Linked DNA regions of Canis lupus familiaris. The protein of the gene in region 1 interacts with the protein of each later gene in a biochemical or structural test. Links are inferred from orthologs where the notes say so. Each region holds a gene or a part of one and is shown in the gene's direction. Other genes may lie near its edges.

Evidence for each region.
Region 2: the proteins of NOXO1 (region 1) and NOXA1 form a complex in vitro, tested with the Homo sapiens proteins (2 studies listed by IntAct). The link is inferred for Canis lupus familiaris from reciprocal best matches to the Homo sapiens genes NOXO1 and NOXA1.
Region 3: the proteins of NOXO1 (region 1) and CYBA form a complex in vitro, tested with the Homo sapiens proteins (3 studies listed by IntAct). The link is inferred for Canis lupus familiaris from reciprocal best matches to the Homo sapiens genes NOXO1 and CYBA.

Annotation. Positions count from the first base shown.
Region 1 is NC_049227.1:39,395,901-39,400,082, forward strand, and holds the start of NOXO1 (NADPH oxidase organizer 1), read left to right. Parts: upstream 1-1,380; 5' UTR 1,381-1,531; coding exon 1,532-1,574; intron 1,575-1,896; coding exon 1,897-2,262; exon of another isoform or gene 2,263-2,670; coding exon of another isoform or gene 2,671-2,695; intron 2,696-2,886; coding exon 2,887-3,140; intron 3,141-3,234; coding exon 3,235-3,315; intron 3,316-3,486; coding exon 3,487-3,562; intron 3,563-3,662; coding exon 3,663-3,840; intron 3,841-3,989; coding exon 3,990-4,171; intron 4,172-4,182. Other genes in the region: GFER (FAD-linked sulfhydryl oxidase ALR), read right to left, coding at 75-329. UniProt on the Homo sapiens protein: Constitutively potentiates the superoxide-generating activity of NOX1 and NOX3 and is required for the biogenesis of otoconia/otolith, which are crystalline structures of the inner ear involved in the perception of gravity.
Region 2 is NC_049230.1:48,297,854-48,301,807, reverse strand, and holds the start of NOXA1 (NADPH oxidase activator 1), read left to right. Parts: upstream 1-1,154; 5' UTR 1,155-1,391; coding exon 1,392-1,568; intron 1,569-1,908; exon of another isoform or gene 1,909-1,998; intron 1,999-2,212; coding exon of another isoform or gene 2,213-2,237; exon of another isoform or gene 2,238-2,311; intron 2,312-2,447; exon of another isoform or gene 2,448-2,524; coding exon of another isoform or gene 2,525-2,827; exon of another isoform or gene 2,828-2,871; intron 2,872-2,887; exon of another isoform or gene 2,888-3,021; intron 3,022-3,954. Other genes in the region: EXD3 (exonuclease mut-7 homolog), read right to left, coding at 2,213-2,237; 60S ribosomal protein L10-like, read right to left, coding at 2,525-2,827.
Region 3 is NC_049226.1:65,174,750-65,178,921, forward strand, and holds the start of CYBA (cytochrome b-245 alpha chain), read left to right. Parts: upstream 1-1,372; coding exon 1,373-1,430; intron 1,431-4,172. UniProt on the Homo sapiens protein: Subunit of NADPH oxidase complexes that is required for the NADPH oxidase activity that generates, in various cell types, superoxide from molecular oxygen utilizing NADPH as an electron donor.

The DNA of each region.
Region 1 (4,182 bases):
CCGCCCCGCCCGGGCGCGACCCCGCGCGCGAACGGCTGAAAGGCTGCAGGCCGGGCTCCCCAGGGGCATCTGACCTTCTGCTGCGTCCGCATCCACGTCTTGAAGTCCACGCAGGCCCGGCAGGGCCGCCTCCGGGAAGGGTCCTCGGCGACCTGGGGCTCGGGGGTCGGCGCGGGGGCCGAGGCTGCGGCGGACGCATCTCTCCGCCCCGCGCCCCGGCCGCGCGCGTCCGTCACCAGGTCGTCCATCACCTCCGAGCGCGCGCCGCCGGGCAGGAAGGAGAAAAGGCTCCCGCCGCCGGAGCGGCTCCGCTCGCCGGGCGCCGCCATGTTGCCCGCGCAAGGCCTGCCGGGCCAGCTGGGCCTCCAGAGGGGCCTCCAAGTCGGCCTCCAGGCCAGCGCGCGCGCCGCCGCCAGGGCGCGGCCACAGGAGCCGGGCAAGGGCGCAGGCGCAGGCGCGGAGGCCGGGCTGGAGCTGGGAGCGGGGCCGGGGGCGGGGCCGGCTGCCGGCGGGGGGGCGGGGCCGGGTCCGGGGCTTGCGGAGCGCGCCGGAGAGGCGGCCGAGCCTGAGGCCGGGGTGCGGGTGGGCGCGGGCGCGGGGCTGGCGACCCGGGTCCTGGCCGGGCTCCCGGGCTTCGGTCCCCGTCCCGAGCCCGGCTTGCGTCGTCCGTGGCGGCGCTCCCGCTTCCTCCAGTAGAAGAGTAGCGTGTTGTGGAAGCCGCGCCGCGGCCGCGCCGTGGACTCCGGCTGCGGCCGGGGCGAAGTCCGTGTTGCGGCCCGGGACGCCCCCATCGCTCCGCTCCGACCGCCCCGCGTGCCCGCGGCCAGGCTCTGTGCCCTCGGCGGGGCGCGCCCTGCGGTCGGCAGACGGGCGCCTCGGCAACGCGGAGCGGCGCGGTGAGCGCACAGAGCGCGGCGCGCCGGGGCCTGGGTCCCCCGGGTCGGCCCGGGCAACGGGCGCCATGGCAACGGGCGCCGGGGCTGCGGGGCGGGGCGGGGCCTGCACAGCCGGCGGCGCGGGCCTGGGGCTCCCGGGGCTGCCTGGGGGCGCTGTCCACGTCCCCGTCGGGAGCGGCCTCAGCCTCCGCGCGCTCGTGCGTCACCTGCACCTGTCTGTGCGGCGTCTGCTCTGTTCCAAGTCCTGGCCCGGGCGCTGGGCAGGGCGGGGCCCGAGATCCGTCCCTGACCCCCGGCTCACTGTCCAGTGGTCAGCGGTGAGAGTCGGGGCGCCCGGGGGGCTCAGCGGTTGAGCACGTGCCTTTGGCTCAGGGCGTGACCCTGGAGACCCAGGACTGAGTCCCGCATCGGGCTCCCCGCAGGGAGCCTGGTTCTCCCTCAGCCTGTGTCTCTGCCTCTCTCTGTGTGTCTCATGAATGAATAAATAAAATAAAATCTTAAAAAAAGAAAAAAAAAAAGAAACAAGGGAGTCACAGTAACACGTCCACTGACAAGCTCTGGTGGGGACCACGAACAGGGAGTGGCTAATCCCGGAGGCCTCCTTGAGGAGTGACACTTAGGCAGAGGCCTGAAAGATGAGGACTCAGTGGAGGAAGGCCGTCAAGGCCAAGGCTGGAGGTGGGCATGGGCAGAAGCCAGTGGCACAGGACCTGGGGAAGGTGGTGGGAGGAGAGATCTAAAGGTGGGCGGGAGCACATGCAGGGCCTTGTCGCTGCCATGGGAGCTGGGAATTGAGCAGATTTCATAGGAGCTAGTGAGGAGCTCGGGCGGGGAAGGGGGAGGGCAGGTATCCACGGGCCAGGTGAGGCTGGGGGCCATGGAGAGGCACAGGAGGGAAAGGAGCCAGGGTTGCTGGGGGTGTGAACAGGGGCCGTCGGATGGGGCGGGGAGGGGGCCTTAGTGCCCTTCTAGAAGGCCCCAGTTTCTCTGTGTCTTCCAGGGGAGAAGTGTCTGCCCCCGCCTGCAGCCGGCCGGGCCAGCCCCTCAGCATGGCCCCACGAAGGTTGGGGAGAGCGTGACAGCTGGGCTAAAGGCACCCTGCAATTGAGGCCTCTGTCAGCAGGAGTTCATTGCTTGGGCCGTGAGCAGGGAAGGTTAGAGAGACGCTGGAGGGACAGATCCACAAAGGCCCTTTGTCCAGGCCAGGGTGACTTTCCGGGGAGTGACCTAGAGGCTAACCCCTCCCTGGACGACTTGGGGCAGGAGTCCCAACAAAGAGCCAGTGGCCCCAACAGCAGGAAGAGCCAACCGAGAGCAGGCTTGGGTGGAGCTCTGGAGGCCCTCCACTTCAGGAAGCAGCCCAGAGGTGGGGGCACCTAAGCACACCTGTGGGGACTGTAGGGTCTACCCCTGCTTCAGCCCTGTTAGTGGGGGAATGGTCACTCCTCGTCTCAGAGGCTGTGTTCGGGGTAAATTGTGGTAAATCATGAATTCAGGGGCAGCTCTCAAAACAGTCCTAGTCACCAATCCCCCCACACACACCACGCGCCAGTGACTGCAGACAGGGACCCTCCTGGTCCTGCCCCAGGTCTCCCCACCACACGGGAGAAGAGCCTGTGAGGTCCACTCTCCCCAACATATCCAGAAAAGCCTGAATTATCCATTTCATGTAAATTTCCTCCTCTGTGACTTGGGAACACTGAGAGACCTTTCCTCCAATGTGAGTATTAAGCCAAAGTACATAAAGCCTTCAGTACTGGGTCCTTGGCTCCCGATGACAAGGGCCGGCAGCCGCCCAGGTGAGTTGGGAGGCAGAGCGGAGGCACACCTTGGGGAGGCTCAACCTGTCTCACACAGGGCATGGGAGAGTCAGGCCAGGCTGCGGCACTTTGATGGCCCTTCCTTTTCCTCCTCCTCCCAGGGGCCAGACTCATGCCAGACAGAGTCAGCCCCTGCCCCCTCGCCTTGCCCTGTGTTCCTGTCCCTCTAGGCGGATCTGCTTTGGGCACAGTGAGGAAGCTGGGAGAGACCCAAGGGCAGGGCGGGGGAGCACCTGGGGAATTCCAGTCATCTTCCGGGAGCCTGGGAGCCCTCCCTCCTGGTGAGCTGCAAGCAGTGGGCCCCTTGGTCGCAGCTGGGCAGTTCCAGAAGCCCAGGACCGCGAGCTGTGAGGCGGCGATGGCAGGCTCCCGGCACCCGGTGTCCGTGCGCGCAGCGGCCCTGGTGCAGACAGGGCGGCTTCAGGTAGGATGGCGCGGGGTCCCTGCCAGCCCCAAGGAGGAGGGAGGGAACTCCTGGCCTGGCCCTTCCAAGGCGCCCCCAACCTTTCTCCCAACAGACGTTCGCCTTCTCCGTGTGCTGGTCGGACGGCAGCGACACCTTTGTGCGAAGGAGCTGGGCTGAGTTCAAGGAGCTCCACGTGAGTGAGCATGCGGCAAACCCTGTCCCCCGAGGCCCAGCACCGACCTTGCCTAGGCGGTGGCCTCGTGCCCGCAAGGATCCCTGCTCCTATGACCCCCATCCCCGCGAGGAACCCTCACCCTCCCGAGGGAACCGCTGGACTGAGGCGGATTCGCTGGTTCTTCCTTAGAAGACCCTCAAGGAGGCGTTCCCGGTGGAGGCGGGCCTGCTGCGCAGATCCGACCGCATTCTCCCCAAGCTCCCCGGTGAGGCCGCTGCGGGAGCCCGCGGGGACCCGGGAGGGGCAGGGGCGGCAGGGGCGCCAGCGGCCCGGGGACCCCCAGATTGAGCCCATCGTGCCCACAGACACATCGCTGTTGGTGCGCGGGGGGCGCACAGGCCGCGGCCTGGCGCGCCTGCGGCTGCTGGACACCTACACTCGGGCACTGCTGGCTGCAGCGGAGCAGCTGTCCTGGAGCGCGGTGCTCACAGGCTTCTTTGAGCCGCAACCCGTGGACCTGGAGCCAGTGCTACCACCTGGCAGGTACCCCACTCGCCCCCAGTCCCCTGCCCGGGAAAGCCCTTGGAGGCCAGGGGAGGGGCGAGGCTGGGAGGTGGCCGCCGGGGAAGGGTGGGACGCCCGGGCACTCTCACCCACCCCCCCTCCCCCACCTGCACCCACCCCCCTTCCAGTCTGGTGATCCTGCCCACTCCTGAAGAGCCCCACCGCCGCCCGCCACACAGCCCTGCCATCTGTAGCCTGGAGGCTCAGAGCCTGCGCTGCCTGCAGCCCTTCAGCACCCAGGACACGCAGGGTTGGCCTTTCCATGCAAGGGCCCAGGAGGTCATAGACGTGCTGCTGCGACACCCGTCAGGTGGGGCTGCA
Region 2 (3,954 bases), on another chromosome or scaffold:
TGTCAACCCAGCAAAGCCATGGTGCCACCTAGTGGGTCAACCACTAGAGAGAGAGGCAAGAGCACCTGGTGCAGGGGCACGGAGGGGCGAGGGAACGCAAGTTGGGACTGGAATTCCGGACCATAGTCCAGGTCGCTGGAGCCCCCAAGTGCCCAGAAAGCATTTTCTAGGAGACTGACAGTCGGGACGGTAGTCTTGTCCTGAGGCAGATGACCGTCCCTAACCTGGTAGGCCTCATCCAGTCCCCAGAAGGCCTTGGGAGGACAGACCTGGCTCCCAGACTCACGAACAGCCTGAGTTCTGCGCCCCTGCAGGTTCCTCCAGGCCCCACAGCTGCTCGCTGTCAGGCTCCCCCTCTGCCCTGGGCCTGGTTTCCCCGGAGAACCCCGACCCACGTGGCTAAGAGCGTGACAGCCAACCAGACGCCTAGGGGGCATCAGTAGGGACATGTGCTGAGAAGGCAGGGGCCCCTGCAGCCCCTGCAGACTTCCAGGGCGGCTCCTGGTGGGGGGCAGGTGCCACCTCCAGGTCCACAGGTGCCTCTGTCTTGGGGGGGGGGGGCTTCTACTTTCTAGGTGAAGGAGTTCCTGGGGGTCACGGAAGCCCACAGGGCACAGGGTGCTCCGGCCTGCCACAGGGGCGCGGCGGGTGGGTCCCTGTCCCAGAGAGGGGACGGGGCGGGGCGGGGCAGGGGCTGGTGGGGCCCTGTTCCCGAGGGGGTGTGGGTCAGGACAGGTGGGTCCCTACTGAGGGAGAGGGCGACGAGGCAGGTGACAGGGACACGGGGCGGACGGTCCCCACGAGTGTCACCGGCACCTCCCCACGACCCGCCGTCCCGGAGGTTGGATTCGGGGACCCCTCCCACGCTGGGTCTCTGCTGTCCCCGCGGGCCGCTGGGCGAGGACCCCAACCCTGACCCCGGCCCTCCTGGGCCCGCGCCCGGCGTCGCTCACCTGAGCCCGCGGGGTCCGCCCGGAACCCTGGCCCGGCCGCGGCCGCAGCGATCCCGGACGGCTTTCCCCGGCGCACTGAGACCCACCCGGCCGGGGGCGCTACCGGCGGGGAAACGCGAACGCTGGGAGCTGAGGGCGGAAGTCGGGCTGGGGGCGACCGATTGGAGGGAAGGGGCGGGGCCGGATGTAGAGGGGGCGGGGCCGCGGGGACACCAGGGGCCGCCTGGGGCCCCGAGGGCAACCGGGGGCGTGGCGCACCTGCGCAGGCTCACCGACTGCACGGGCTACGGCTCCCGGCGCCCACTCCGCCGCGCCTCTCCGGACCCTGGAGCCCCTGCTCCGCGGCCTTTGGCCCCCAGTCCCGCCGGACGCCGCACGGCACCCACTTGCCCGCCCCGTTCCAGCCTGGAAGCACAGGCCGGCAGCCGTCACAGCGCCATGCCCTCGCTAGGGGACCTGGTGCACGACTGGCACCGGGGCGTGCAGGCGGTGGCCCGTGGGGACTGGGGCTGCGCCCTGCGCCTCTTCTCGGGCGACCCGGACCCGCCCGCCAAGATGTGCTTCAACTTGGGCTGTGTGCACCTGCTGGCCGGGGACCCGGAGGCCGCGCTACGGGTGAGCAGGGTCCCCGACAGCCGCGCACCCAGGGTGGCCGCGGGGACCCCACCTGTGGGGAGGCTGTTCTCTGGCCCTGGGGACCCAGCTGCCGGGGTGAACCCGGCGTCCCCGCCCTTCTTCCTGACGGTCATCTGGGGGATGTCCCCCACTGTTCTGCCTCAGTGAACAGCTATGGCAGGTGGGAGCTGTGTGGTGGGGGATCCCACCTGAACTCAGGGCCACGATGGGGGGCGGCCTCCCCCATCATCTCCACGTGGTAATGACCACGTGCCAGATTCTCCAGTCACCAGGAAGGGCTGGGGTGATACTGGCTCAGGTGCTTGGTGTCCTAACATACCCGGAAATAGGCTGGAGGCTGGATCCTGCTTGGAAGGGGCCTGCCTGCCCCTCAAGGTGTAGGGCTTGGAGCAGGAACTTCATCAGACACCTATGGCGATGCGCAGATGCTGTCTTGTTGGTACCCACACCCCAGATCTAAGTACTCATCTTTTCCCCAATCTGTTCCCCAAAAGAACCAAGAGCTCAGGAGTGCACACAGGTACACATGCACAGCTCGTCTGCTGAGGGGGCAGCACAGAGCTGCTCTCTGCCCTCTGAATGCTTTGTATTCTTTCAAGTGATGCGTATTCAGGGGTACGTACAAAAATCCAGCAGCACCCCACTCATCGTTCCCGTCCCCAAACCTCTCTGACAGAAAGAACCAGGATCCAGCAGTTTTCAAGACGATCAGTGGCAGTTACCTGAAAAATGACACAAATGAAAAGAGAATTAGATGTTATAGGAGAGCATCAGTGTGAATATCTTGCACAACTTCATGTGGGAGTGAGAGGGAGACTGGGCAATGGGTATAAGGGATCCCCTGTTGCTTCTTTTTTTTTTTTTTTTTTTTTTTTTTTTGACAGGAAGCAGGATTTATTGGTGGGCATGAATAGGGTTCGGGTGGTGCAAGGTTCTCATGAGTGGAGAGCCCTCCATTTGTCCAAGGGGCCACGATTAGGGATGTATTTGACCCCACAGCCATCTGGGATGAGCCGCTTTTCGGCCACCATATCTTCAAATTCGTCCGCATTAAACTTAGTAAAGCCCCACTTCTTGGAGATGTGGATCTTCTGGCGGCCAGGGAACTTGAACTTGGCCCTGCGTAGGGCCTCAATCACATGCTCCTTGTTCTGCAGCTTGGTACGGATGGACATGATGACTTGGCCAATGTGGACCCTGGCTACTGTGCCCTGGGGCTTCCCAAAGGCACCTCGCATACCTGTCTGCAGCCTAGATTGGAGATAACATTATGTCAGACCTCTAAGTCGACCACAAAGGGCTGTCTCCAAGGTCCCTTAGGGCAACCCATACAATCAACAGGCTGCATACACTACCAAGGAGGCTACTGTTTGCAGCCATGGCACACTGGGCCCCCATGGAGAAAGAGCACAGTCGGCTTAATTGGCTGCCCCCTGTTGCTTCTTACCTTTGCATATGAGTCTACAATTCTCAGTAACAATTTCAGGGTTTTTTTTTTTTTTAAGATTTTTATTTATTTATTTATTAGAGAGAAAGGCAGAGACACAGGCAGAGGGAGAAGCAGGCTCCATGCAGGGAGCCCGACAGGGGACTCAATCCTGGGTCTCCAGGATCAGGCCCTGGGCTGAAGGCGGCGTTAAACTGCTGAGTGACCTGGGCTGCCCGAGTTTCAGGTTTTTAAAAAAGACTTTATTTATTTATTTGGCAGAGAGAGAGCACAAGTAGAGGGAGTTGCAGGCAGAGGGAGGGGAGAAGCAGGCTCCCCGCTGAGCAGGGAGCCCAATGTGCGGCTGGACCTCAGGACCCTGGGTCATGACTGGACCTGAAGGTATATGCTTTACCGCCTGAGCCACCCAAGGGCCTGTCTTTCTAATTCAAAAAGATAACAAGTGTGGGACACCTGGGTCCTGGGGTGACCCTGGGGTCCTGGGATGGAGTCCTACATCCGGCTCCCTGCAGAGGAGCAAAGCAGGCTCTCTGCAGGGAGCCTGACACAGGACTTGATCCTGGGACTCCAGGATCAAGCCCTGGGCCAAAGGCAGGCACTAAACCGCTGAGCCACCCAGGGACCCCCCTAAATAAGATCTTTTTTAAAAAAAGATAACAAGTGTGTCATTCTGTACGAACTATCAGAAATAGGAGTTTAGGGATGCCCAAGTGGCTCAGTGGTTGAGCGCCTGCCTTTGGCTGGGGCATGATCCTGGATTCCCGGGTTCGAGTCCTGCATGGAGCCTGCTTCTCTGCCTGTGTCTCTGCCTCTCTCTGTCTCTCATGAATAAATAAATAAAATCTTAAAAAAAAATAGGAGTTCAAAAAGACGAGAATGTCGCATAAGTTGGAGCCCCGGGGTGACTGGTGACCGTGC
Region 3 (4,172 bases), on another chromosome or scaffold:
AACACTGGTGTGTGTCCAGTGGGAGGTGGGTGCATTACACAGGAGCCCTGTGGGCTGCAGGGAATAAAGCCAACGTCACTGATGGAGCAGGTGTGATTTTCCTGGTTCCTGCACCAGTGCTCTGGGGTCCCTGTGCTGAGAGGCTGGGAGGGTCTGGGCAGAGCACCTGAAAAAGTTGTCAACTAGCTGTGACCCACATTTGGTGACTGACACAGTCACTAAAGCTCTGATGGGTGTGAGGATGTGGTTTGGGTCTGGCTTAGGTCCCTGTCCACCAAAGAAGGTGGGAATTGGGTTTGTTGGCAGGAGTGTGGGTTATAGATGTGATTCCTCATAGCCCAGAAGTTTCTGGACTGTGAAACCTCAGGAGTGCCACCCCTCTCTATTTCTGAACCGGCAGGGCAGGCCAGGCATCCAGGAGGAGATGGACACAGGGGTAACTGTCTGCCCCTCCTCCACCAGGGTCAGGGGCTGGGGCCCTGGCTACTGCTGCTGAAGCACCTGACAGCTATGACCCTCATTGGGGGTAGGGGGAAGGACAAAGGGATGCACTCCTACATTCTGGATTTTCCCAGAAGTTTGGCACATCCTGTCCTTCGGAGTTGGTCTGGTGAGCAGAGGGTTGCTGCAGTGTGACCTGGGCCACACCTGCTCCAGTCCAGGGCCAGATGGGGCAGTGGAGGCTTGGCCTGCCAGTGTCCAAGGATGCCTTGGTTAACTGTGGGACATCCATTGCGTGGCCGCAGTGAAGGTTCTGGGCCTTTAAACCTGGGACCAGCCTGCCCATGCCTCCTTTGGGAGAAGTCCCTGTTCCCTGCTGTAGGCTGCAAGCTCTGAGCAGAACCCACACGTTTTGGGGTGCCTCCAGGTCACAGCGTGCTCGCCCTGTAGCCCAGCCCGCCGGCAACGGCTCTGATCTTGGGCAGCCCAGGTGATGCTTGGGGAGCGAAGCTGGCAGGTCAGGTGCCTGGCACACAGCCAGGGAGAAACTCGGTGGCCTCCGCCGCGGGTGCCCCGAGGGAGCTGGGAGGAGCCGGGAGGAGCGGGGAGGAGCCGGGAGGAGCGGGGAGGAGCCGGGAGGAGCCGGGAGGAGGAAGTGAGCTGGGGCGGGGGTCGGGGCGCTGGGCCTGCAGGGGACCCCGCCGGGGAGGGGAGGGAGGCCCGGGGTGGACAGGGCCCCAGGGCTGGGTCCCGGCTCTCGGGGGAGCCTCACCTGCCCGGCGGGGCGGGGCGGGGCGCTGGGGGCGGGGGGCGGGGCGCTGGGGGCGGGCGGCGGGGCGGGGCGGGGCGCTGGGGGCGGGGCGCTGGGGGCGGGCGGCGGGAGCGCGGGCGCAGTGTCGCAGGAGCCCGCCGAGCTGCGGTCGTCGCCGCCATGGGGCAGATCGAGTGGGCCATGTGGGCCAACGAGCAGGCGCTGGCGTCCGGCCTGAGTGAGTGCGCGCGGGGGCTCGGGCCGCGGGCCGCGGGGCGCGGGCTGGGAAGCGGGACCTGCCACTGCGGGCCGGGGCGGCCGGCGGGGGTCGGCGGGCTGCAGCCTGCCGGGCAGCGGGGGCGCTCGGCCTGCGGAGGGGCTTCGGAGCCCCTTCCCCCGCCCACGCCCCAGCCGTCCCCTCGACGGCCCATGACCCCCGCCCCGCCGCCGGACCGCCGCACCGAGAGAGGAAGTTGCAGCCAGGAGAAGAGGCGTTTCCTCCTTGGTGGTTTCCGGGGAGTCCCTGCCCCCCAGGGTTGGGTAAACCCGGCAAGGGGGCGCCCTGGTGGCCCTGCTGCCCTGGAGTGGGGGGCCGGGGCTCCCTCTCTTCCTGGGTGGCAGGGGCTCTCCGTCGGGGCCCAGGCCCCCCGTTCCACAGAATGGCATCTGGGATTTCATAAGGTGGCTAGAGACCCCCTAGAGCGAGCCTGGTCAGCTCAGAGCCCCCAGCCACCCTGCCACCTGTGCTCAGGAGCTCTGCTTACGGAGCATGGGGTCTGCACCCGAGCTCTGTGCTCACAAGCAGGAACTTCTCCGGACTGAGTGGGGTAGAGCTGAGTCCACACCAGGGCCTGAGGCAAGAGGGGCCGGAGGCTCTGCCTCCTGACCAGGGACCTCCCACTCCCAGGAAGGGCCTATGAATGTGCTGAGGAGGGGGGCTCTCAGCCCAGCACCATTCCCCTGGGACCCTCCTCCCCCAGGCCTCCCTCCACCTGGGGAGGGAACTTGGGGAGGGAAGGCGGAGAGGTAGATGAAGTCTCCCCGGCCCTGCGCTGCGGGATCACATTTTAGAGTACAGGATCTAGCAGTGTGTTGTGTATCCAGGCAGGTCACCCCCTGCACTGGGCATCTCGAGTGGCAGAGAGCTCAGTGGGTGGGTCACGTGGTGCTCCCCTCTGTCCCCAGGCTGTCCACTCCAGGCTCTATTCGTAGAAGGCCCACTGTGTGCAGGCTGGCCGTCCTGGCCTGGGCTCCTGCTTGCGGTGCTGTGGCACCCAGGCTGCCCTCACGGCCGCTGTGCGTACGGTGCATTTGGGGTCTGGGCTCAGCCTTCTCCATCATCAAATAAGACAGTTTGTCAGAAGGTCCCCCAGGGCCCTGCTCTGCTTCCTCCCTTGCTGACTTTTCTTCTGGGTGTAAACTGCAGCCTCCAGGGGATGGCTCAGGCCTGATGAGAGCCTAGCCGCAGTCATGCTCCACAGGTTTTCCTATTGTGGGAAACCCCCTATGACCAGATTGTGTCACCTGCTACTGAAAGCCTTCCCATGGCTTTGCGGGACGCATAACCAAAGCCCGACCGATTTTGGCCTCTCCTGCACCCGATCCTCCAGCCCCCTGCCTTCTCTGGGCCTCGTCCACAGGGTTCGTTTTTGTCCCTGTTCCCCTGAGCAGGCCGCAGGGCCTTTGCTGAGGAGACATCTATCTGAAGCATCTGTGGCTGGCTGGCTTCTCCATTCATTTCTCGGCTCAAAAAGCCGCCTGCTTGGAGGAGTCTTTCTAGAGCATCAGGCGGAGCATAGCCCCGGACATTGCACCACATTCCCCAGTTTCAATGTTGATTTTTGTTCCCCCTGATGAGACCAGGAGCCCCCCAGGAGCGGGGGCCTCATCGTGTTCCTGCTGTGTCCTAGTAGGGCTCTGTCAGCGTTTGGTGGGTGGCAGACAGTCCTGCCTTCCTGGTGAGTTAGTGGGGTTTTCTTCTGCCCACCCCCCCGCCCCCACCCCCCTGCTGACCCCAGGCAGCAGAACTGCTGCTCAGGACAGGAAATCAGGCGCTCAAACACAAGGGTGTTGGCTGGATGCAGAATGCCGCCCTTCCCTCTTCCAGCCCACCCGGACCCTGACGGCCAACAAAATAAGTTAATATGTAGCAGAGCTCAGCACCAGGGATAGGAAATCTGCTGGCAGGAAAAGCAGAGTGAGACTTCAAGGAGATGTGTCTGGGTCAAAGGAAGGGGCGCCCAGGGCCTCGAGCTCTTACCTGGTGGGATGTGGGGGCCTAGTGTGGAAACAAGGGAGTTTGGCCTGCGTGGCTGGCCCACACCGGGGAGGGCCTCCTGCATGGGAAACAGTAGGAAGCAGGTCCCCCCACCCCGAGGACACTTGCCACCTGCAGCCAGGCCTGGACTTGAAGTCACGGACAAGACAAACCCTTGTGGAAACTCAGGCCTGTGCTGCATGTGGGGAAGGGCCAACTGTCTCCTACCCTGTGCCAGACCGAGAGAGGCCTGTGAGCTGGGCCCAGGCTGGAGAAACCCCGAAGCCCCCCCAGCAGAGGCAAACATGAACATTGTCTGCAAGGCTGCCGCAGGAAACCAGACTCCACCAGCTGCCAGCTCGTGCCCCCACCCACCCCCACCCCCCGGGGAGGGCCCTCTCACACCGCCACAGAGCCAGAGCTGCCCAGCCTCTTCAAGACCTGAGAATGTGAGCATGCCTTGATGCCTACGAGTGTCCCAAACTGCTCGGGGAGGGGGGGAGGAGCAGAGTTTTATAGCAAAAACAGGACAGCGCAAGATGTGAACTAACACAGAACGTCAAAGAAAAAAGTCATCAAAGGTTAATGAATTGAATGCTCTGTAAAGATGAGAGGATTTGTGGAATGGAAGGTGGGGCTCAGGGAACCTCACAGCACACAGCCCAGAGACAGAGAGGGGGTCATTAAAGAGCAGTTGAGGGGCACCTGGGGGGCTCCGTTGGT